3 linked regions of the Oreochromis niloticus genome follow. The protein of the gene in region 1 purifies or fractionates together with the protein of each later gene. This does not show direct contact. Links are inferred from orthologs where the notes say so. Each region holds a gene or a part of one and is shown in the gene's direction. Other genes may lie near its edges.

Evidence for each region.
Region 2: the proteins of vps33a (region 1) and tgfbrap1 purify together in Homo sapiens (co-immunoprecipitation; 5 studies listed by BioGRID and IntAct, with this or other methods). This does not show direct contact. The link is inferred for Oreochromis niloticus from reciprocal best matches to the Homo sapiens genes VPS33A and TGFBRAP1.
Region 3: the proteins of vps33a (region 1) and vps41 purify together in Homo sapiens (affinity purification with mass spectrometry; 5 studies listed by BioGRID and IntAct, counting the BioPlex papers as one, with this or other methods). This does not show direct contact. The link is inferred for Oreochromis niloticus from reciprocal best matches to the Homo sapiens genes VPS33A and VPS41.

What each region holds. Positions count from the first base shown.
Region 1 is NC_031977.2:12,418,286-12,425,982, reverse strand, and holds the start of vps33a (vacuolar protein sorting-associated protein 33A), read left to right. Parts: upstream 1-4,668; 5' UTR 4,669-4,732; coding exon 4,733-4,834; intron 4,835-4,911; exon of another isoform or gene 4,912-4,996; intron 4,997-5,122; coding exon 5,123-5,188; intron 5,189-6,452; coding exon 6,453-6,580; intron 6,581-6,697; coding exon 6,698-6,884; intron 6,885-6,979; coding exon 6,980-7,096; intron 7,097-7,205; coding exon 7,206-7,380; intron 7,381-7,697.
Region 2 is NC_031965.2:16,372,570-16,379,803, reverse strand, and holds the start of tgfbrap1 (transforming growth factor-beta receptor-associated protein 1 homolog), read left to right. Parts: upstream 1-4,139; 5' UTR 4,140-4,211; coding exon 4,212-4,263; intron 4,264-4,411; coding exon of another isoform or gene 4,412-4,550; exon of another isoform or gene 4,551-5,086; intron 5,087-5,859; exon of another isoform or gene 5,860-6,096; intron 6,097-7,234. Other genes in the region: cul4a (cullin-4A), read right to left, coding at 228-295, 1,313-1,395, 1,476-1,565, 1,646-1,808, 1,885-1,958, 2,050-2,119, 2,828-2,931, 3,370-3,485 and 1 more. UniProt on the Homo sapiens protein: Plays a role in the TGF-beta/activin signaling pathway. It associates with inactive heteromeric TGF-beta and activin receptor complexes, mainly through the type II receptor, and is released upon activation of signaling.
Region 3 is NC_031974.2:15,255,461-15,262,688, forward strand, and holds the start of vps41 (vacuolar protein sorting-associated protein 41 homolog), read left to right. Parts: upstream 1-4,186; 5' UTR 4,187-4,357; coding exon 4,358-4,378; intron 4,379-4,664; coding exon 4,665-4,703; intron 4,704-7,228. Other genes in the region: pou6f2 (POU domain, class 6, transcription factor 2), read right to left, coding at 2,158-2,255, 4,063-4,110. UniProt on the Homo sapiens protein: Plays a role in vesicle-mediated protein trafficking to lysosomal compartments including the endocytic membrane transport and autophagic pathways. Acts as a component of the HOPS endosomal tethering complex.

The sequences.
Region 1 (7,697 bases):
AAACAAGCTATCATGCTGATACCCTGCTATAATTGTTGGCTCCATCCAGTCAACCTAAATCTGGCTGGTGAGGATTTTTTTTTTTTTAATTCAGAAATCACAACAAGGCGTACTGAATTTGCAGTCGACATCCGACAGATCCCAGCAATCCTGAGATTTAGCTGAAAACGCCATCTGACCAGCACATTGATGTACATATAATTCAGATTCAACTTTTAGACTCAAAGGGAGCTGAAGAGAAAGTCTGAAACCTTAACCATAAGAAAACAGAGAAAAAGAACAGTTGCTTAATCAACAACAAAACTCCACATGGCATAACATCTGCCATCAGTTAAAGTGCAATACTGCCACCCACTATGTTTAAGTGTCAACCTGATAGTTACTGGTGCTGCACTACTTTTTTGTGTGCATTATTAATATTCTTTAAATATTTCATATTTTAAATATCACAGTTATCACCAACTCTGTTACATCACAAGTCTCCTAATATAGCAGAGAATGCTATTATCCGAGCCTCCTTTTAAAGCTAAGTCAGTAAACAGCTACAGGACGAGGGAACACTCGATTACCGGCACTCTAGCAAGAGCCTGCAGTGAGTTTCGGATTTGCTTGGGTGATGGTGATTCATCCTTGTATGCCCCAGAAGCAAGAGGTGGGACTGGCTGCTGATGCACCGGCCGGTTATGTTCCCTCGGTTTCTTCAAATCTTATGTCAGAGGTAACAGATAGGCGTATTAAATGTCTGTTTGTAGTCTTATGAGACAAAACTACATGGTTGATAAGATGAAAGAAAACACGTCAGGTCTCTTAGTCTTACTGCTGTTACTCTCTCCCCTGTGAAGATCTGGTTCAGCTGTGGGATATCTGACTCTCCCTCTTGTCCCACTAGCAAACTAGCAGGTACAATGCCCCTGGGTGTTTTTAACAAATCTGTGTTGGCAAACTGTTCTGGCCTGGAAGCTGCAACACTAACAGGAAGCTTCTGCGCAACTTTTGACAGAAAAACCTCTGTCGGGAGTCTTTTCTGTAGGCGTCACTCTGAAGACCATCACTGAAGCTGCAACATATGCAAAGCAGGGATTAGAATGAGTGCAATATAAGGGTCAGGGATTGGGAAGGGTAGTGGAAAGGTGGAAAAGGGGTTTCGAGATAAGCTAGTGTTAATTCTATTTTGGATGTTTAACTCCTCACTCTGCTGGGGGAACTTTGTTAAAAGGCCACATTCATTACTTCTGCTTTCTCCAATATGCCACACCATTTAGGCAGCTCGAATCACCACATTTGGATAAGTAAGTGAATCAATGCTTATCCACCGCTGATGAGAATAAGAAGATGAAGCCACTCCCCTCTGGAACTCGGCCGCAAATGGCAGAATAAAGTACCTCCTCTAACAGAATTTAAACACAGAACACAAAATCTGCTGAGATTTACAGTAAAAACTGTGTGATTTAGGCCCGAAGCTGCATGCATAGATGGTGACGAGCACAGAAAACATGGAGTCATGCACCTTTACCAACTGTGGCCATGGTAACAGCAAGATCAGAAGATGAGAATGAGAGTGATTAAACTCCGTGTGTGTGTGTGTGTGTGTGTGTGTGTGTGTGTGTGTGTGTGTGTGTGTGTGTGCGTGTGTGTGTGTGTGTGGAGTGTGTCTGCATAGTAGACCACACCTGTGCCAAATTTTCAGACCCATGCAGACCAGGTCATTGTTACAAATGTTGTAAAGAAACGTGGTTAAAGAAGAAGGGTATGGCTGCCTTGTATGCTTGTGTGTTAAATAATGCATACAGCATGCAAAGCACTTCGTTCCTCCATCTTTCCCCCCCACCTTTTCTCTAACTACCCATCATTCTTGCTCTTTTACTCTTGTTTTATGTGACCAGATGTGAAAACAACTGATCTCCTCCTATATTTTTTCTTAATTTCATTCCTTCTCTAGAAAACAACAATAGGCGAGCAGGCAGGGAGAAAAATACAAAGACAAGGGACATCAGGATAAAGGTGTCATCCAGTCACTACTGGGGCTGCTTATGTGCAAGGATGCAACTGCAGATATCGCTCAGACCATTCATTCAGTCTTTTCTCCCCTCCCCCATTTAATCCACATGCTTCAGGTCTGTAGGAGGAGTTGGGAGATGGTGGAACTGGAAGGCAGAGCCCAGCTTCCTTTCTCTGTCCTCTTTCCATATTAATGTCAGAATAAGAATGAACTAGTCCAACCCATTACAGCACACGCACACACACACACACACACACACACACACACACACACACACACACACACACACACACACACACACACACACACACACACAGATACACACTGCTTTGACATTCCAGGTTTAATAATAATAGCCCCAGGGTGCAGTATAAGATAGCATCACAACAAGTAGTCAACTGAATCACCTGCTCTGTGGCACAGCTGGAGTTGAGAAGCAGCCCTCCCCACATCAGTGATCAGCTTGACGTTTTTCCTCCATAGTCTGCAAGCCTCCAGCGTGCGCTCCTAAAAAATCCTGCAGCAACGCCCAGGGACTGCAACCACACAGTCTCCCACATGACTTACCAGGTCTGTTCTCTTACATCAGATCTACAACAACAAAGCACTTCATTTGCAGGAGGAGCCGGCCTCTAGTCTTGTTTTATTAAATCTTTTTTATAAAGGGAGATGGGGGCTGAACCTACTGAGGTACACCCAGAGTGTAGCCATTCATGAATAAACTTAGTCCATAATCATAACACCAAAGTAGGCAGTAGTAAATCAGTGCAACACCAGCTCTGCATGAATGACAGCAAAAAATAAAATAAATAAATAAAATTCTGCAGCAGGATCACGTCTTCGGAATGATGTCCCCCCCCAAAACCCCCCCACAAAGGATTCACTGAAATGTTCATTGTTATAATTGTAAGCTATAGGTTAATTAACAGCATGCATACTGAGTGCACTGCACACTCCCTCACAATCTTCCCCTTCATTCAAACGACTCAGTAAATAACAGGCTAATAAAAACCCATGATATGTGTTCCAGCAAATTAATAAAAACAGGCAATAAAACGAGCTCCCTAGTAAGCGATTTCTATTCCCCGTGTCTTCTGAATGAAATGCTGCATCCATTCAACTTGCACAGGCTAAAGAGAAATTACAATGGGCTGTCCAAACGCAATAATCTCACAGAAATGTTTCGGGTGAGGATGTAATGTTTGAAAATCCTTCGAAGGAGATCGCACAGCCTACCTGTGAATCCAGCCCTGCCTCTCTCGCCTCTCCTTCTCTCTCAGGGAGCTGTCAGGGAATGATGCGGACTAAATTTCTGTGCAGCGCTCGGATCCGACCACGGAGTTAGTCATTGCGCATGGTGCCCGTCACAAAAGCCTGTGGCTTTATTTATTTATTTTTCCTGGAAGAGTAGTCTGTTGCTGAAATGCACAGTGGATCACCCCAGTGCGTGGGAACTGGTCTTCTATCCTGCGCGGAGGATGGAAAGCCCTTGGTACCCTGGGCAGGAAACCCCTGGATGTGAAGTGATAACACTGATGCTCAAGTAGGCAGTCATCACCTGATCCAATTGTCTCCATAACACAGTGTCTAAATTTGTCTCATCATTCAGCAGTCTGTCTTTATGGCGCGTAAACATGGATTATAGCTTTAAAGTTTGATTTTTAAGCCGTTTTTTATTTGAGTCACTTTTTTTTTTGATTGTATTAAACAACCATTCTTCATATGTATGTGCCAACAAGAATCTTTATGTTTTCTGTATGATAACATTAGCAGAAACTTTTATTTCCCCTGTCACATCTTCTTCTTTTTCTCCTTCTTCTTGTCTTTTTTAAAAGATAGTTTTAACTATGTAATTTTCAAGAAAAAAAAAAGCCAAATTCCAACATCAGTGACTCAATTACAGGAGCTTGCCGGCGATTGAATCCTACTGTGAGGACACTGCGCCATCTAATGGATCCAATAATAATTGCGGAAAAGGATGAATGCATTTCTTTAGCTGAAGGTTTTGAATTATTCTAAAAGGATTCATTATTTTTTTATTATTCTAATAAGTTATTTGTTTGTAACGTGAATGAAATGAACAATCGTCACGGTCATAAATAACCGTAGTCACAGTGGTTATGGCCTGCACTTTGTGGTAGTTACAGTGTAGAGTTGCCACCAATGACTGTAGAAAGCACCTCCTCCCATTGTGCAAAAATGAAGCCAAATCCCGCTTGTGAATTTGGACACAGCTTCCACACCTACTCGCAAAAAGAAGAGTACAGGAGGATTGAAACAGTACCTCCTCTGCGCTTCCTTCATCGTATTTAAAAGCATACTTGAACAGGAAACATTTCTGATGTTATTCTGTCGATGTCTACGCTTAAAAAGTATAATTTAAACAATGCTGAGACTCGGTATGAGACATGAGTATTTCTCTTAGCTGTTTAAGTAATTTTTCTTACCGAGCAACATCTACGCATGCGTGAAACCCGTATTTCCCGTTATGCTATTTTAGTTTTTGCATTTAACTTTTATTTATTATTACCGTAGACTGCAAACAGATAGTGCCGACATGAATTTGTCGGTGCATTAGTGAAGTGGAAGTGTTTGAGTGCACATTTTCACAGTGTTTAGGCTCAATTGTGGCGTTTTCTACAATCACTGGTGTGAACTAGCTTGACTTTCTTTGGTCACATGATGCGACTACGCTGAAGTCACCTGATTTGTTGTGCTGCTAGTAAGGAAAAAATGGCTGCTCACTTGTCGTACGGTAGAGTGAATTTAAACATATTGAGAGAAGCAGCACGAAAAGAGCTTCGAGAGTTTTTGGACAAATGCGCAGGAAGCAAGGTGACAAACCCGCATACGCCTGTGAAATGTAGTCCAAACACTGGTAGTTAATGTGGTCTCTGAGGCTCAGCGTTACCATGCGACTGTCAGTTAACATTATAGTCATAGTTTTATTTTGAATGTGTAAAACAATACAGATAACGCAGACATATTTCTGTGTAGGTGCGTCGTATTATAAAATATTCGAGCTACTAGCTAAGTAACAGTTAGCAAGTATCGCCTGACAGAACATCTTCAGTTCTGCTTACTCACGATTCAAAGCTTTGTGTGCTCTTACTCTTTCTTTAGGCCATAGTTTGGGACGAATATCTGACGGGACCGTTTGGACTAATAGCTCAGTACTCTCTGTTGAAGGTAAGTGCTTTCTGTTTACAAACCCATTTCTAAAAATGTTAGGAAGCCGTGCTTTGTGGGAATGCAATGATTTGCAAATCTCCTAAACCAATATATTATTTACATTAAAAAAATAGAAAACGTCAGAGCTTTCTACTGTTTAATGAAAAAATATTAGGCCATTTTGAGTGTGATGGCAACAAGACAACTGAACGTTGGTACAAGAAGAACAGTCTGGAAAAGTAATTGGTACTAAAATGAAATAGCTGGAGGAACATTTGGCAACAGGTCAGTAACATGATTGGTACATATCAGCCAGAGATTCAGAGAATCTGAAGGAATCTCTGTGGACAAGGGACGAAAAACACTCAGGTGCCGCTGCATTAAAAACACACATGGTTCTGTCATGAAAACCGCTGCATAGGTTCATGAACACTTCCAGAAATAATTGTCTGTGAACACAGATCACCATGCTATCCAAAACTAGAGGTTAAAGGTCTGTCACGCAAAGAAGAAGCCATGGTTGAACATGAAATGCTACTGTCTGCTAATTGTGGAAAACTATTCTGTGGTCAGATGAATTAAGACTTTAAATTATTTTTGCAAAACATGTATGTTGTGTCCTCAGGACTAAACAGAAAAGGCAGCATCTGACTTATTATCAGCACTGAGTTCAAAAACCTGCACCTGTGATGGAGCTGCATTCATGCCTGTGGAATTGGTAGTCTACATATCTAGCAATGCTGAAAACAGGTTTTACATATGCTCCTATCCAGACTGGATAGGACAGCAGTCTTTTTGCACATTTCATCAAAAGACTCCTAAACCGCATTAAGCATCTATTACAACAGCATGCATTCATAGTTGAAGAGTCTACTGAACTGTCCTGCCTACATTCTAGACTTTTCAACAGCTGAAAGCATTTGGCACATCGTGAAATCAAAAATGCAACAAATTAGACTCAGAAGTGTTGACGTATTGGTGTCGCCAAATTAAAAATCATCAAATATTTTTCTTGGTCCATTTTCTTATTTTAAATCTTTTATGTTTTATGTTATTTTCTAGTGTAAAAGAAATATGTGTTCATGAGATTTTCAAATCTTGGAATTCTGTATTTATTTGCACATTATTTTTTGGAAGTGGGTGCACAATTTATGTCTCAATTAACTCAGACAACAGACAAGGCCCACATGTCTTATTATCTAGTTTCTTTTAACACTAATGTCATGTGTCTAATGTTGCTGAGGGTGTTGTTTTAACTTGTCGTTTATTATGGTGTGTTCAGGAACATGAAGTGGAAAAGATGTTCACCCTCAAGCATGGGAGGCTTCCCCCTGCTGATGTCAAAAATATCATCTTTTTTGTCCGGCCCAGACTGGAACTTATGGACATCATTGCAGACAATATAACTAGGTGAGTGTATGTGTCTCATCCTCAATCTGTGATAAAGACAAGGTTTTGTTTTCTTGTCCTTTCTCTCACTTTGCATAGCTATCCACACTTTGCAACATGAATTGTGCTACTCTTTAGTGAGGATAGACACCATTCATCCCGAGACTTTCATATTTTGTTCGTGCCTCGGCGGAGCATGCTGTGCGAACAGCGGCTAAAGGAGCAGGGCGTGCTGGGCTCTTTCATCAACATCGATGAGTATATCCTGGACCTGATTCCCTACGATGGGGACCTGCTGTCCATGGAGTATGAAAGTGCTTTCAGGGTGTGTTCAGGTTGCACAGTACAAATATGTATCATCCACTTGCTTTGGTGGAATCTCTCATATACACATAAATTACTCCCCTTTGTCGCACTCAGGAGTGCTACCTGGAAAATGACCAAACAAGCCTGTACCACACAGCCAAAGGCCTCATGACCTTGCAGGCTCTGTATGGCACCATTCCACAGATATATGGGAAAGGAGAATGTGCACGGGTGAGCATGGTGTAACCTTCAATAATTTCTGTTTTATATGAAAGCAGAGGCTCTGCAGGAGCGAGGTAAATACATTTTTCTGATAAACAAATCCTCTGCTTGTTATCAGCTCGTTGCCAACATGATGTTGAGGATGAAGAGGGAGTTTGCTGGCAGTCAGAATCAGATTCTGCCCGTGTTCGATACCCTACTTCTCCTTGATCGTAACGTTGACCTGCTCACCCCTCTGGCCACACAGCTCACCTATGAGGGTCTCATTGACGAGATTTACGGAATCAATAATGGTATGAATAAATCATTTAGAGTTCTTACTCTTATGTTTGCATGTTGAGCCTCAGTAATATTTATTGTTTCTGACATCTGCATATCCCGCTGTTTCTTTCGGAACTTTATTTTTAATGAAAAGCAGAGCAGGATTACACTTGAACATTAAAATTAATCTTCTTTTTTTCTCCAATATTTGACATATTGCTCATATTGTAGTGTTGAGGTGGAGGTTAGTTTCTCCAGCAGTTTGATGATGTCTGCAGTCTAGTGATCCTTGTTTGGATGCTTGCCTGCAGACATTTCTGTGTGGTAGCTTTTCATGCTAGTACTGTCA
Region 2 (7,234 bases), on another chromosome or scaffold:
TGTCACAAACATGAGTGCATTTTACATACTGAAAATGTTTAATTGTGTGCATAAAAACAGGGTACAGCTCTACAGGCAGGACAGCTCAACTAAAAAAGAAAAAGCACTAAAAAAGTTGCTAAAGGACAAAAAAAAGAAAAGAATACTGATGTGTACCAGTTTAACAGAAACCCAGCACCACGTCTGTTTGTTTGTGGTTGTTTGCAAAACCTTTCACACAGACATACCCTTTTGCAGTATTGCAGTCATATGTTCTCCTAACAGCTGTTTCTCAACACAGCTAATGAGAGGTTTCCTGTGAAACAAAGAAAACAATATAAGAAAAACAAATAATAAATATTTAGCCAATTATTCCTTCAGGATCGTCTCCTTTCGAATTCATTCACCACTTCCAGCATGACTGCTGTTTTTTTAAATGGCTCTGTGGGAATCCAGTTTGTTCCATATGCAGATGCACTTTTGTGATGCACACTGGATTCCCTCCCCCATAGCGTCAAAAGATCCTTCAGCTTAAATTGCAATTTGAAGAGGAGGATGAAGTCAGAAGGAAACAAATTTAGCTGGTGCTCAGTAGTGGTGTGTTCGTGGGGCTAAAAAAATTCAAGTTATGTGCACCAAATATAATCAGTAAGTCCTGCACAACCCTGTGGACAATGGAAAAATAAGGAGCAAGCACCTCATACGGGCTTGCAGACTGTGGACTGTTTTACTGAAACATGCTGTTTGATGTCTGAGTTGTGGTCAGAGTTCTCATCCACAGTGATGATCCTTTACATAAACGCTCACATCAATTTGCATTTTGTGCAAGTTAGAGCTGCACAGTTAAAATGCAGATGCAAAGCTGCACGTGGTCAGAAGGGAACTTCCAGGGTGAGACTGAGACAATCATAAATGAGTAAACCAACCAAAACATGTAGATTTTTTTTATTTAAATAGAATCAAAAGAAGAACTTTCTGATTGCATGGGTAGTTGTGGAAGAAAAAATAGTGTAGTAGTGTCAAAGTTTGTGATTGCAATCTTCTATAACAGTGCTTGTTGACACTTTAAGGCACCACTGGTCTTCTGACTCAAAACTAAACCCCATTTAGCAGTTTCTATATCACTATATGGTAATGAATGGTTTTTAAATGTTCTTTCTGAATGTTGCTTTAGAGCTGTTTTAAATGGTGAGTAGGCAATTTTACCTTCCTTAAGCTCCAGCAACCCTTGAAAAGGATAAGCTGGTATAGCTGATGTTGGATGTCTCAGTAATATGCCATAATATAATAAAAATCCAAATAAATAAATAAGTAAATAAATAAAAAACATTACTGAGTGCTTTGATCGAGGTAGCTCACGATTCGATCATTTTCCTCCTCCAACCGACGAGCCACGTGGTGCAGGTACTCGGGTACCTGAACACACACAAACACACACACTCAGTACTGCTGATGACAATCACATGACACACACACCCACTGGTGGTCTCACTCACGTCTCTCTCCTGCATCAGACGCTGTCCCTCTGCTGCATACAGACGATTGGTCTCAGTCAAAAATCTCTCCTCAAAGGAGTCTTTGTAAACCTAACAAGAGTTGAGAGTCATGATGGAGAAATACTGGCATGCACTCTAAGCGCGCACGTGACGAAGAGGCGATTGTGTACCTGCAGGTCTGACAGCATGCCAAGAAGACTCCTAAGCAGACTCCGGTCCACGGTCTCTCCGTTCCGCTCCAGTTCAATCTGCTCCAAAATGCCTTCCACTGTTCGCTTTTGAACAGCACTGTCGCTCACAATGTGGGTGCGAAACAGCTCCAAACCGGTGTCCCTGCAGCGAATACATAACATCAGCTTTCTGGGAACATCTTTAAAGACACAGTGACTTGAATTAACTATAATTTTACCAGATGGAAGGGAGTAGAGAGTTCTGCAGCACATAGGTACGATCCAGGAAGAGAAAGATGCTCCGGATCATTATCTACAGAGAATCATTAGATTAACATTCCTACAGTCCACTAAGGTTTGAGCAGAGCATATTTAAATGCATATCTATCAAACATCACACTCACAGTTTGCCTACAGTGGTCCTGCCAGCAGCGATTCATTCGCTTCAGGAAGGAAAGGTTGTCCAAAGACTCTGTGAGGTTCAAGTTAAAGAAAATCTTTTACTGAGGCATCAAACCCCAGCTCTGAATAATATTACAGTACCTCTAATGAGATATAGTGACAAAGCATGTTTATCTAACTTCCTCTTAATACTTAAAAGAACAAACTTCAAAAAGCTGCCCAACCAGTGTTATTAAATGCGATTATTAAATTCAATCAAACCTATACATGCAAAGACCTACAGTGTAGGTGCCAAACTACACATTGAGCATCGCTTGACGTCTGCCAGCAGACCCCAGATATCATTGAAAGAGTAAAGCTACCAATAAATTCCAAGCAAAATCCACCTTGAGGTCCCAACTGCAGATTTATAAACAAAGTGGAGCACTGCTTTATCTTATCTGTGTGCAGCAGATCTCAAACAAATTGCTACTCACTATATAAGCAATACCCAACTCTTGTCTGCACGCAGATGAACAACATCTGGAAACTAGTGTCCGGTTACAGATTTTAACCCTCACCCAACTGAACTAATTTAGATGTTTATCTCTTATAGTGAGAAACTTGTTATTATCATGTCAGTGCATATAACATATACTGACAGGATTTCACTCCACAGTTAGCTGAGAATCATTTTGGTTTTTAGTAAAGAAGATATCAGACAGATCCTACCTGCTTCAATATTTCAGCACGTTTAGCACATAGATTGCCTGACATGCCTGTGCACATAAAAAAGGATATTCTCTAAACTGGTGGATCTGGGCCTGCACGTGATCTTCACAGACTTGCCGAAGCTGCTTGTACAGAGTGGGTGAGACTTTATACGAGCACAGGTTCTCCACCGCCTTCAAGTGCAGCAGAAACAAAGAAAACACAGGACAGACAGGTGATTTGGAGAATAATAACATTGACTTTAACACTATTAGTGAAACACAAACATAGAATTATGTGAAAATGTGGTGAAAGCCTTTGAGATGCATAACAGTTTAAAAGCAAACAAACACATCAGCAGACGTCCTGCACGTGATGCAACACGCACAAAACAAATGACAAGTCTTCACAAGTTTATTTTAATCCTCGGCTGTTCTTCAACTTCAGACTCATTTAATATTCTGTGGCTTTATGGTGTTAAAAAATGTCGAGACTGCAAAGCATTTGAGCTTGACATGCTCAATTGTTCTGTACCAACATGTTTTTAAGGCCCGGCAGTGCAACACATTACTCAGGGTGTGAAGAAAATACGTCTAATTCTAGTTTGATAGTTAAAAAGACAAACAGCAAACCTGATAGAGCTCCTCCAGGTTATACTTGATGGAGGTGCTGTTCTGGATTGCACCCACCGCATCTCGCAGCTTCAGCCACGTGTCCTCGGTGTAGTTCTCTGCTAGTTTTGGCCTATCTGTTTACAAAAATACAACAAGACTCACTTATAGGACTAAAATATGACCATACTAGGATGTGGGCACATCATATATTACCATGTTTATTACAAATGCTCTAAATGTGGAAATGATAAAACCTGATGGATAAATGTTCAATGACATTTTCAAAGTTCTCTGTCATATGTTGAAGGTAAGGAAAGGAAGTTTTGATACAACTCCACAATAGCTTTACTGTATTTATGAAGCCATCAACACTGGGACGACCGACAATAACCTAAAGAGGGAGTACCTCCACACACTTTGGACTCTCAGCTATGTTGGCAAATAAACATTTATCCTGCTGGAAATTGAACAAAGCAAATTTACTTGTCTCTCTGACTCAATCATTTATTAACATTTATTTATTTGCCGATCTTTTTCCACACAAAAAAAAATTTCATTTCTAAAATGTCCAAAGTAAATGGTTAATTGTAAAGTGAAGTGCTGTAACTTCTCAATATTAACATCAACCTTGACTTAAAACAAGTAAACCTCTTATTTAAGTTTCCCACCCACCCACCCTTTTTGGTGCGAAATAATGGACTGACAGAACAGCAGTATCTTTGAGACGATCAATTCGTTCAATGATTAGTTATGTCAGATATAAAACCTCGCGCTTTTACTTTATCCAACAGGTGCTGGGATTTAGGAGTGGCCCAAAACTCCATGGCTGGTGGATTTGGCACAAACAGATATGCAGCATAATGGAAAATGCATATCAGTTTATCAGGAGCAAGCCCTGGTTAAAGGTGACATGTGAGTGCTTGAGCAGGGCACTAACTTTTTTTCGTTTGTTTATCTTTTTACAGGCATTATCTGAAAGCAACATCGTATGTCGTGCTATGGTATCTCTGTGTAACTGCTGCTGTTAGGTAACGCATTAGAAGAGGCTCAGTGACAGTACCTTTGAAATTTTTGATCACTAGTTTCTTTGACGTGCCGGTTTTGCCTGAGGCCACAGCGGAGGTCCTGGCCATCCCGTTAGCACTGTGCTCCGTTATAGAGAAGCTGGCCCTCTTGTCCTGTCGGGTGTCCTCTGCCATTATCAGATTAGCGCTTTGGCTTATCGCTGTATGGTTCAAGTGTTTTGCTAACTTACTGCCGGGATGTTTACTCGCTGTCAGGGGGGGCAGCCTCTATATTAAGCTACTTGTCTTTGGTTGACAGCACAGGCACTCGCAGCCTATTTAAAACACATTCACGGGAAAAAATGACTTAGCGCGAGGTTAACTAATCCGAAAACATAACTACCTCCTACCTGGTAAATGTGCCACTCTCCTACCTAAGTAAACACACTGCTAGCTAACAGTATGTTATCTGAACCTGCAGCACACTTTAGCAAACACTTTTCGTCTTCTCCTCAGCGCCGTAGCTTCATAAGCTAGTTCATATCTCCATCGGCTACTTACAGGCCTCCACGAGTTTAACTGTTGTATTTTGCGACAGTACACTAACACATAAACGCGACATCGTTAGCGCTGACATAAAAATCCCAAATTACTGCTGGCTTTCTTTACCATGAAGCTAGCTAGCACAACAAAATGGCTTTTCTCAGACGGTTCAGTTGGACAGGTGCATCTTGGGTGAAAACCGGCCGGGTTGCGTTCAGTGACATATGGTGCATTTTACTGTCAGAACAAATTGGTCAAATATTCTAAGATACTGTGTAGTTAACTTAAATATCAGTAACAATAAATCAGTTTGCCATCAAAAGGACAGCAACTTTTTTTTTGCATTAGTCATTAAATTAAGAAGCTTTAGTCATAATAAGAACTCTACGGAGGAAAAATTGAGGCGTTCTCTGGAGAGAAGAGGAATGAAAGTCAGTGGAAGCATGACAGAATGAATGAGAAGGAGATGGGTGTAACAGTGAGGAGCAGAGGTAGTGAGTCTGGATGACTTTAAATGCAACAGCAGCCCTTACTAATTCTACTGAGTACACGTTTACTGTTATGGCATGCATTTTCTTGCACACATGCTGCTAGGACCAGTTTAGAGACACTTAATCACCTCTGATATTTGTTTGGCTCTTGTCATTGTAACGCACTTGTCAGCTATGAGCATCACCAGAGATATTAATTGTTAATCACTGAAATATATTGATACATCTGTGTTTAGTTTAAATGTCTGTGAAGGTTCTCAGTCATCCGGGTCATCGTAGTCTAAGGAGCTTGGAAGTCCAGACGTTTTTCTTTCCAAGCTCCTTAGACTGTCTAGTTTAAATATTTTATATGTGGAGAGGTAAACAATGAATAGCGGTGATGCATCTGCCTCACAATAACATTGCTCCAGGTGGTTTCTTAGAAGTGGCTACTGTTGAAAAACTCGTAACAACAGTGAACGCACCACTATATCACCTGCAGCCAGCAGGGGTGCAATGCAAATGGGCGGCGTTTCATATTGGATAAGCAGGAACTCGCTGGCTGCCATTCAGCTTGTATTATCCGGCTGTCGGTGGGGTAGAGACCCCGAGCAGCATGGCAGTGTTGACGTTTAGGTGTGAGTTCATGTACTGGTTTTCGGAGTACTGAGGCTTTTCTGCGTGTAGTGACTCCGGCCTGCCGTCCCGAGCGCCGCCTGCATTGATAGGTAGGTCTGCTGGCTACGCCAGCTGCTCCGGGAGAAACTGGGCAGGGTGTGGGCGCACAGAGCATCATGTCAGTGAAGGGGAGATTGACTGGAAAACAGGTTGATTTTCCTTGGGCGGACACTCCGTGAGGGTTGTAGCCTTGGAGCTTTAACCACACTGCAAATGTAGCCTAGCTTTAAATTAGCTTGCTAGCGTTAGCATAGCAAGAGAACACTGTGTAGAAGCTAACTTTAGCCGAAAGAGCTCAGGTACGTGGTACTGAAACAACCTATCCGATTAAAAACTGGCCACGACTTCCTCACATGACTCATGTCCTAATGACGAATGTCTCACCTTCAGACACTCACTGTCAACAGTGATTTATTTATTTTTTTTCGCTGCTGCCTCTGGGTTTGGGAAGCTAGCTAGTGCTAACATCATTAGCTCCTACTGTTTGAGCATGAGGGTGTGAGGAAAGCAATCCCCTAATAGGTCAAATATAAATTGGTAAACTTTATGATAAAGTGTTACTATAGTAGTGCAACAGGACACTCAATAAAATTGTGCTGTTGATATAAAGACGTATATCTGCTTTGTTAATCTTTTTGTGTCAGAGCACATAAGCTTTCAGGCAACCCAAGATCCAAGTCTCATGCCTTTAAATGTAAACACCAGCAATCCTCAGCTGTACTGTCAAGGAGAGATTTTCAAGAAATGTCAATCTCCTTATCTTAAAGACAAAACGTCTTAAACAGTATCTTCCTTCCATCCACCTTCTGCCCTTTATCAGGCTCTCGGTTGTAGGAACAGCAGGTAGGTAGGGAAGCCCAAACCTTCCTTTTCTTTACCTCCTTCAGCTCACCTGGCAGGGAGGCATCAAAGTGTTGAGATGTAAACCCTCCAGTGTATCCTGGGTCTGCCCTGGGGTCTCCTCCTGGTAGGACATGCCTGCAAAACCTCATCAAGAAGATGTTTAGGAGGCATCCTAATTAGATGTCCAGCACCTTAACTGGCTTCTTTCTATAAGGAGGAGTGGCTCTACTTCCAGCGTTCCTCCTAAACGACCAAGCTCCTCACCCTCTAAGGGAAAGCCCAACCACCCATCAAAGGAAGCTTGTTTCTACCACTTGTATCCGATATCGTTCTTTTAATCACTAC
Region 3 (7,228 bases), on another chromosome or scaffold:
TAATATTAAAGGAAATAATTTAGAGATATTAGAGATAAACTGATAATGAAAATGATCATTAGTGGCAGCCATATGTCCCAAAACAAACTTTTCTCTCACAAAACCAGCCTTATGAAGTGAGACTGAAATTAAATAATGAAATATTCTGTAATCTTCTGAAGCTCCTTTGTTTTTTTTAAAGTTGCATTGTGGAAGAAAAGTGCAAAAGAACCACACAGTCTGCTGAATCTTTAACAACTATGGTTAATTTTGTACATATATAAATATTTAACCTCCTGAGACCCAAGCTCTTGTTTGGGATGCATTTTTAATTTCTCCTAGTTATTTGGGATTAGTCGAACCAGAAAAGTATAAAATCTAAATATTATGTTTGAACAATGGGCACACACTACTTAACAAATTATAAAACAGTTTATTGAGCAGCATTACGAAGAATATTCAAGAGGTTAAAACATGTTTAGAGTAAGTATTAGGTGTGGAATTAAAGCACAGTTCAATAGCTTCAAATGATCTCCAACATACTGGAGACATATGTAGGGTGATTTCAACCTGGGACAGGCTGCAGCACACCAGCCTGCTCTGAAAAACGCACGACAGAATGAGGTTTATAATCTACCCGAAAGACAAAATTCTCTTTCATGCTTTCTTTGTCCTTAAACATTAATGTAACGTCAAACCATCAGCTCGCTCTGTCAGTTAACATGACTTTCCGAGGTGACAAATGTTCTCCGTTCTCTGAGAAATCACACACAACAGCTTCATTTGCTGCTATGACTGACCTAAAAGGCACGTAAATACTTTAATTATCTGATTTTTTTGGGACCTGAAATGACCTGTGTAATGCAAACAGACACATACGCTGAGATTAATAACACCTGATATCAGCAATTATTCATTTGCTTTAAGATTAAAATAAGGTTTCTTTAACATTTTGTAAATCATTTTATTTTCCACCTTAAATGAAACATATGTCTACATAGAAATAATGTATCAACACTTTTTGAAGCAATCATTATATATTTTATGAATATGTGGATGCGCTGTGATGACCGAGCATACGGAGATGTGTAATGTGGTTTGTTAGGTGATGATTTGTCTCCCCCTTAGGGTTATTAACCAAACTGTTCTTCTGTCTATGCTTCCACTTCATGCCTTTGTGCATCTAAATCTCAACAAGTGCTGTTAATAGTGTTAAATTACTCTTGGAAAAATGCAGCCAATTTGTATTATTTTATCTGCAGCTGATCTAACAGACTGTTATTGGGACTCGTGGGGTCAGGGGTGTAAATATCCGAGACTTGAGATGATTTTTCTTTTCACGCTCGTTAATATGATCAACAGTTATCCCTCTCTCCTCCACTAAAGCTAAAACGCTCCCCAGCGGACGGTCGGCGGGTCAGTGAAGGCTGAGGGCTATCAAAGCAGTGTATTAAAAGGAGCTCTTTGAAGCTTGTAAACCACGGTGCCCAGCAGGTCCACAACAGATAGACGCCTCTGATTGGTCAGGTGTGTGTGTGTGTGTGTGTGTTTTCTGCTGGATCGATCCACCGAGCTGACATTCTGGAGCATCAAAGCTTTCGGTGCACTAATCTGACTCCTCCTATGAGGGCGAGGGTTGTTTTTATTATTTTCCTTTTTTGTCCATGAGGTGCTTAAACTTTAGACGGGGCTCTTGCATGTTTATGATGGGAGAGCGGGCAAAGCATATGTTTTGGAGGTTTGAAAGGGAATGAAAACAAATCAAGCTTGGATACTGTATTTATCGAGCGATAAATAATGCAAAACTATAGAGAGAGAGATGGAGAGAGAAGCAGAGAATCACAGGGCCATCCGTTGGGCGTACCACTGGCAGCAGCAGAGGAGCGACACCGCAGAGATTCACACACTGCTGCTCCTCAAAGTCAGTTTCCCCTCACACTGTCTCTGGAGACCTGCGCCACATACACACTCATGAAAGGTGTGAAAATCTGATTTCCCAAAAAGGATCGGTAATTCTCTGTGAGGGTGGAAGCCGCAATCAATAAATCATTGCTAAGCAGATTGTAAAGAAAAAAAAAATTATTCCCCCTTGGTATCAGTGCATTAGGATTCTCCTGAGGATGGATGAGGCAAGACAGGGGTGTGAGACAATCTCAATAAAGAAGAGGCAAATCATACCTTTGGCATTCATCTGGACTCAGGCAAGCAGCTGTCAGCAGAGTGACGGAGGACCAGGCGAGTCGACCAATATCCGAAGCCACCATGTTCAGAGAAGTCTGCAAATATATAAAACAAATAGCCTAATTATTACTGGAAGTCTTGCTGACTGTGTTTGCTTTATTAGTGAATGCACAGGGATTTCCTTTATTAAGGCAGGCATAGGAGACAACCTCAGAAAAGTACTGTACTTTTAATTTTATATTAATCTACCACAGATTTTACCTCAAAAAGGGGCACAATAAATACTTTTAGCTGCTATTTCTCATCATAATAATGCACAATCTGGATGCCATTACTGCTTATTACCAAGTGGACAAAGTATTCATATTCTTTACCATCAAGAGTAAAGATGCATCCAAATACATATTTAGCTTCTTTCCTACAGCTGTAACACTGCTAAACACCATGTGACAGTAATTATGTACAACCCTCATGTGCAATATTCCACTACCCAATTCCACATCCCATAACTCGGGACATACCTCACTGTGTACATTTTATAATATGTAAAATAACTCATGTAAAGTGCACTTTTTTTTACTGCTCAGCTTCACACAATTACAACCCTCAGGCATATACATTACACAGACAGATGCACAGCCTGTAAATAAATAACTCATGTTCAGTCCAACCGTGCAATATTAAGTCCCAATACTTTTTACTCTTTAATGCTTGTCAGTAAATATTGTATTTTATATTTATATTATGTCAGTACATTTATTTTATCTAAGGTTTTTTCACCATCTGAGCAAGTATTACCTGATTTCATTATGTTTGCTTAATGATAATAAAGTGTCTTGAATCTTCAATACAGTCTTGGCAGTAAAATTTAAAGTATCAAAAATATAATTTAATATTCTTCTGAAACCAGGGGACTCAAACAATAGCTGAAGGGTTAATTTAGCCACCACGTTCAGAAAAATCTGCACATATTTAAATCGAATAGTCTTAATCATTTCAGTTAGTGATAGCTCCAAATGTACTGGAAAGAGGATTGTCTGTCCCGTTTTATTCAAATTGTCTCAATTAAGACAAAGAGAGATTGTGAATGAATTTAAAGTCCTGTAAGTTATCATTTTGAGATTATAGATTCAATTAGTGCTCAATTATTTGAAGAAAATTTTGTGTATTTTACCTCACATTCTACTGTATATCTGGCTAGTGGCAGTAAATAATCAATATAAAAGGGGACAATGTGTACAGTAAATACTGTTGCCTAATAATTCTTGTAATAATACTCATGATTACTTCAGAGCCATTACTTTTGTAAAAACTACTTAATTATAAGTAATAGTATTGATGGACTTTAAGCAAAAGTAGCATGTTTATGCTGTTTGGAACCGTTTTGAACTATTTTTAATATTTACTATAAATGATATAAATTTCTCCTCTAGGGAAAAACTACAGTATTTGCCACTGATATGTTACAGACAATTAATATAAAATACAACAAATTAAAATACTCAGCTGTATACAAGGGGGTGGATTTAGTTGGCTCCTTTTAGCCACTTATTTGAATACCTTTTAATGACAGCAGAAATCAGCCTTTTTATCATCCCCTTGGGGACAGTTTGGAGGACTTTTAGTCCAGGTTAATTTATTGTATCTGGCGACCGTTCAAATTTTTAAGGTTGGTCTATTAATGTTGTCAGTGAAGATGTGCTTTATGGTTATACCTAGCTTTACTGCGGGTTATTTGGCTGCAGTTTCAAGACTGTTAGCTTCAACTGAAAAAAAGACATTTTCTTCACAAGTTTTCCGTCTGACACTTAAGAAAAGAGACACTTGGATTGTTAAAACCGAGTAAAACTTGCTACAAGTATTTGCCACGAAAACCACGAAAAACACATTATAAACTGTCACCTGGCATCGTTTTTCAAGTAATCGTCTCCTTTTATTCTGTCTGAGCATCCGCGTTGTCGTTTCTCTATCTGAATGACTTCATTACCCATAACGCCTTGATACTCGAATTGAAGTCATGTGATTTAGCTCATGACTGGAAGCAGGTTTCGACAACAAATATCACTTTGCTGTCACGCAAAATCGGGTGTTTCTGAGATGAAACAAACCTTTATCGGAGATTTAACGGATATTTTTTAAAATATTTGTTAAAGTATTATAGCTGTTACCTTTGGATATATCGCTAAATAATATCACAATGGCGGAAGTGGAGGAGCAGGTAAGCTCAAATGCTAACGCTAGCTAGCTAAATGTTTCTGTTTTAAACGCACTTGCATCAAAAATGCATTCAAAGTGTGGCTGTGAGAGCTGTCAGCTGTGGTTTCATTTGATTTAGCTTCTCATCAAGCCATTCTCTAGCTTGGAAAGCTAACATTTTAGGTGCTAATTTAGCTTTGCAGTTGTTTGGTATGTATTTAATGTCTAAATAAATAGCCATGGCCTTTGAAACCATGCTTTAACATTAATATATTTTTAAAAGCAACCCAACATTTTTCTGCTTTTAGGTCAGTCATCCAAGTGAGGAAACCACAGATGAGTCTGAGGTAAGAATCAAAAATACCTCATCATTTTAGATCATCTAAGATGAATTTATATTAAGAAATTTTGATATATATTTAGAAAATAATAACAGGAAAAAATGGACTTGAATGTGTCATGCAGTTGCACCAGTATGTCAGTGTAGACATGCATCACCAATAATATACTGTCAGTGACAGAAGTGTTCATATTTCCGTCAGGTTTGGATGCTTTTTGAAATCTCTGCCTACTGAAGGGGCTGTAATACATAACATAGCCTTTATCAGCACAGCTTGATCCCTAAAGGATCTTTGTCAGGTTCTGAGAGGTGTCAAACACTCATGAATTACATATAGCTTTCCAGATCCATCAATATTATGACTGAACTCTGGCATGTTACAGTACACCTGTGCTTCGGAGGATCTCACATGGGCTGAATAAAATATAACATTACACATCACGCTGACAGGAAGGAGAATTTTTCTTCATAGGTAGCAGAGGATGGAATCATATATAAGATATATGCTGCATTTTGGACACCTGCACCTTTCTCAAGCTACTTTTTTTTTTCTCAAGAAAATAAACCAGACTTGTAAATAGTGGTCTGTCTGTGCACCATGTGTTCAGTAGTCATGGACAAACACTCACTGGACTGTGGGATTGCAAGTCTCCTCTGAGTGGCTGCTGCAAACAGGTGATTATTTGCTTACAATATTGCAATATACTGTAGCTGGCTGCTGTTGTTACCAGCTTGACAGCAGCCTCGCTAGATGAAGGCAGCGAGGGGCTGTTTGCTCTACACTCTACTAACAGAAGAGATGAGCAGGGTAACAATTTGTCTGAGCAGTGGCTCTGGAAAGTCACAGGCATTCTCTTCATCAACGTCATGATTTGGTTAGATTAGTCTGATTTGTAATAACATAATACAATAATAAGCCTGATTTGTAAGTGCTTTTTAGTATGCTCAGCGGATCAAACCCTTAAAACGATAGATTTAAGCGACATATTAGTCGACTGATTGCACCAATTTCCCCCTCTTTCTGCCTCAAACAAACTAACATGGTTAGATTTAACAGCTACAGCGTTCCCCTTAAAAGCAGACAAATGGGCGAGTCTTGCTTGAACCTTGAACATTAAGCTAGATGATGACACGAGGAGTCTCATTTAGCTCAGCTGTCAGTAGATGGAGAATATGGCAAAAATGGTTACAAATCAAAAGAAACCCCAGCAGCTGACAAACGAAAGGGTGAGTTCCATAAAAGCCTGTCAAAAAATGTACTTTTGTGGTCCCGAAAAGCACATAAAAGGTAGAGAATGAAGGGTAATAAATGGAAGAAAAGACATCATGCATTGTATTTTTAGCAACTTGCTGGACCACTATAAGGCTCTAAGTGCTCTACATGATTCTGCCACTCCTTTAGAAGCAAATGAAATGGTTTAATGCATATTTTAGCTTAGCTTAGTTTAGTTTTATTCAGTCATCACATATTGCACAGACAGTGTAAACAGCACACAATAAATCAGGATCTCTGCACCATGTAGTGACTGAACAGAATCAGGCAGAAGCAACGCATCTGTAAGCCTAGACTGCGGTCTTTTAATTCCAGAATTAATGGGAACAACATAATCGTTCACACTCTCAAGTGTCAATAATTTATGATGTCTTTGTGCTACTGTTTGGAAAAGAAAAAGCAAATTAATTAAATTCATTTTAGCAATTTTCTATAATTTAACCTCAACACTAGAAGTTCACTTTGAGTACCAAAATCTAAAAGCTAATTTGTTAAACAGCATTATGGACACACTTTAATTTTATGGACTAAGGACCAAGCTGATGTCAGCTGGGAAAACAGTTTAAGCAAAGTTTTTATAGCATGTTATATGCTGGTTTCATAAACGTAGGTCTTTGAACATGACCCATGCAAATCAGGAGTTTGGTGTGAGTGCCACCACCATGCGTGCTAGGATTGAAATTCATAAATGCAATTAAGTTAAATATAGCTGTTGATAACAGCATCAAGACAGCCACTGTTAATATACTGCAGGTTGCAAGACCGACAGGAAATGATGGTGTATGAATTTGACAAGTCTATTACTGAATTTGGGATCCTGGGAAGTATAAAGCTGCCACTAATGCTATGATCAGGATAAAGGTATGATCTCCAGTTATTTGAAAACAAGAACAGTCCTGCAAAAAAATGGACAAAGCAAAGTTAGAAAACATTGGTTTCAGAGCTGTAAAGAAATGGCTTTAATTCAAACCAAGTGGACTGAAACAAGCAAATATAATGATGGGAAAAAAAATGATTACCAGACTCCTGATTTTGTTGCAAGCACTGAAACATACAAGGTTTCCTTAACTAGGGTATATGATAATGTTAACTTTGTGTATTTTATCCTGTACATGCCCAGGTGTGACATGTATAGCTCAGTAGTTTGTGTCTAAATGCTACGTTTCTGAATGCCATAATCCATCAGAGATCATATTTTTAATTGTAAATTGATAGTTGATATATGGCAGTTGTAAAACTGTTATTACTGTGTAACAGTG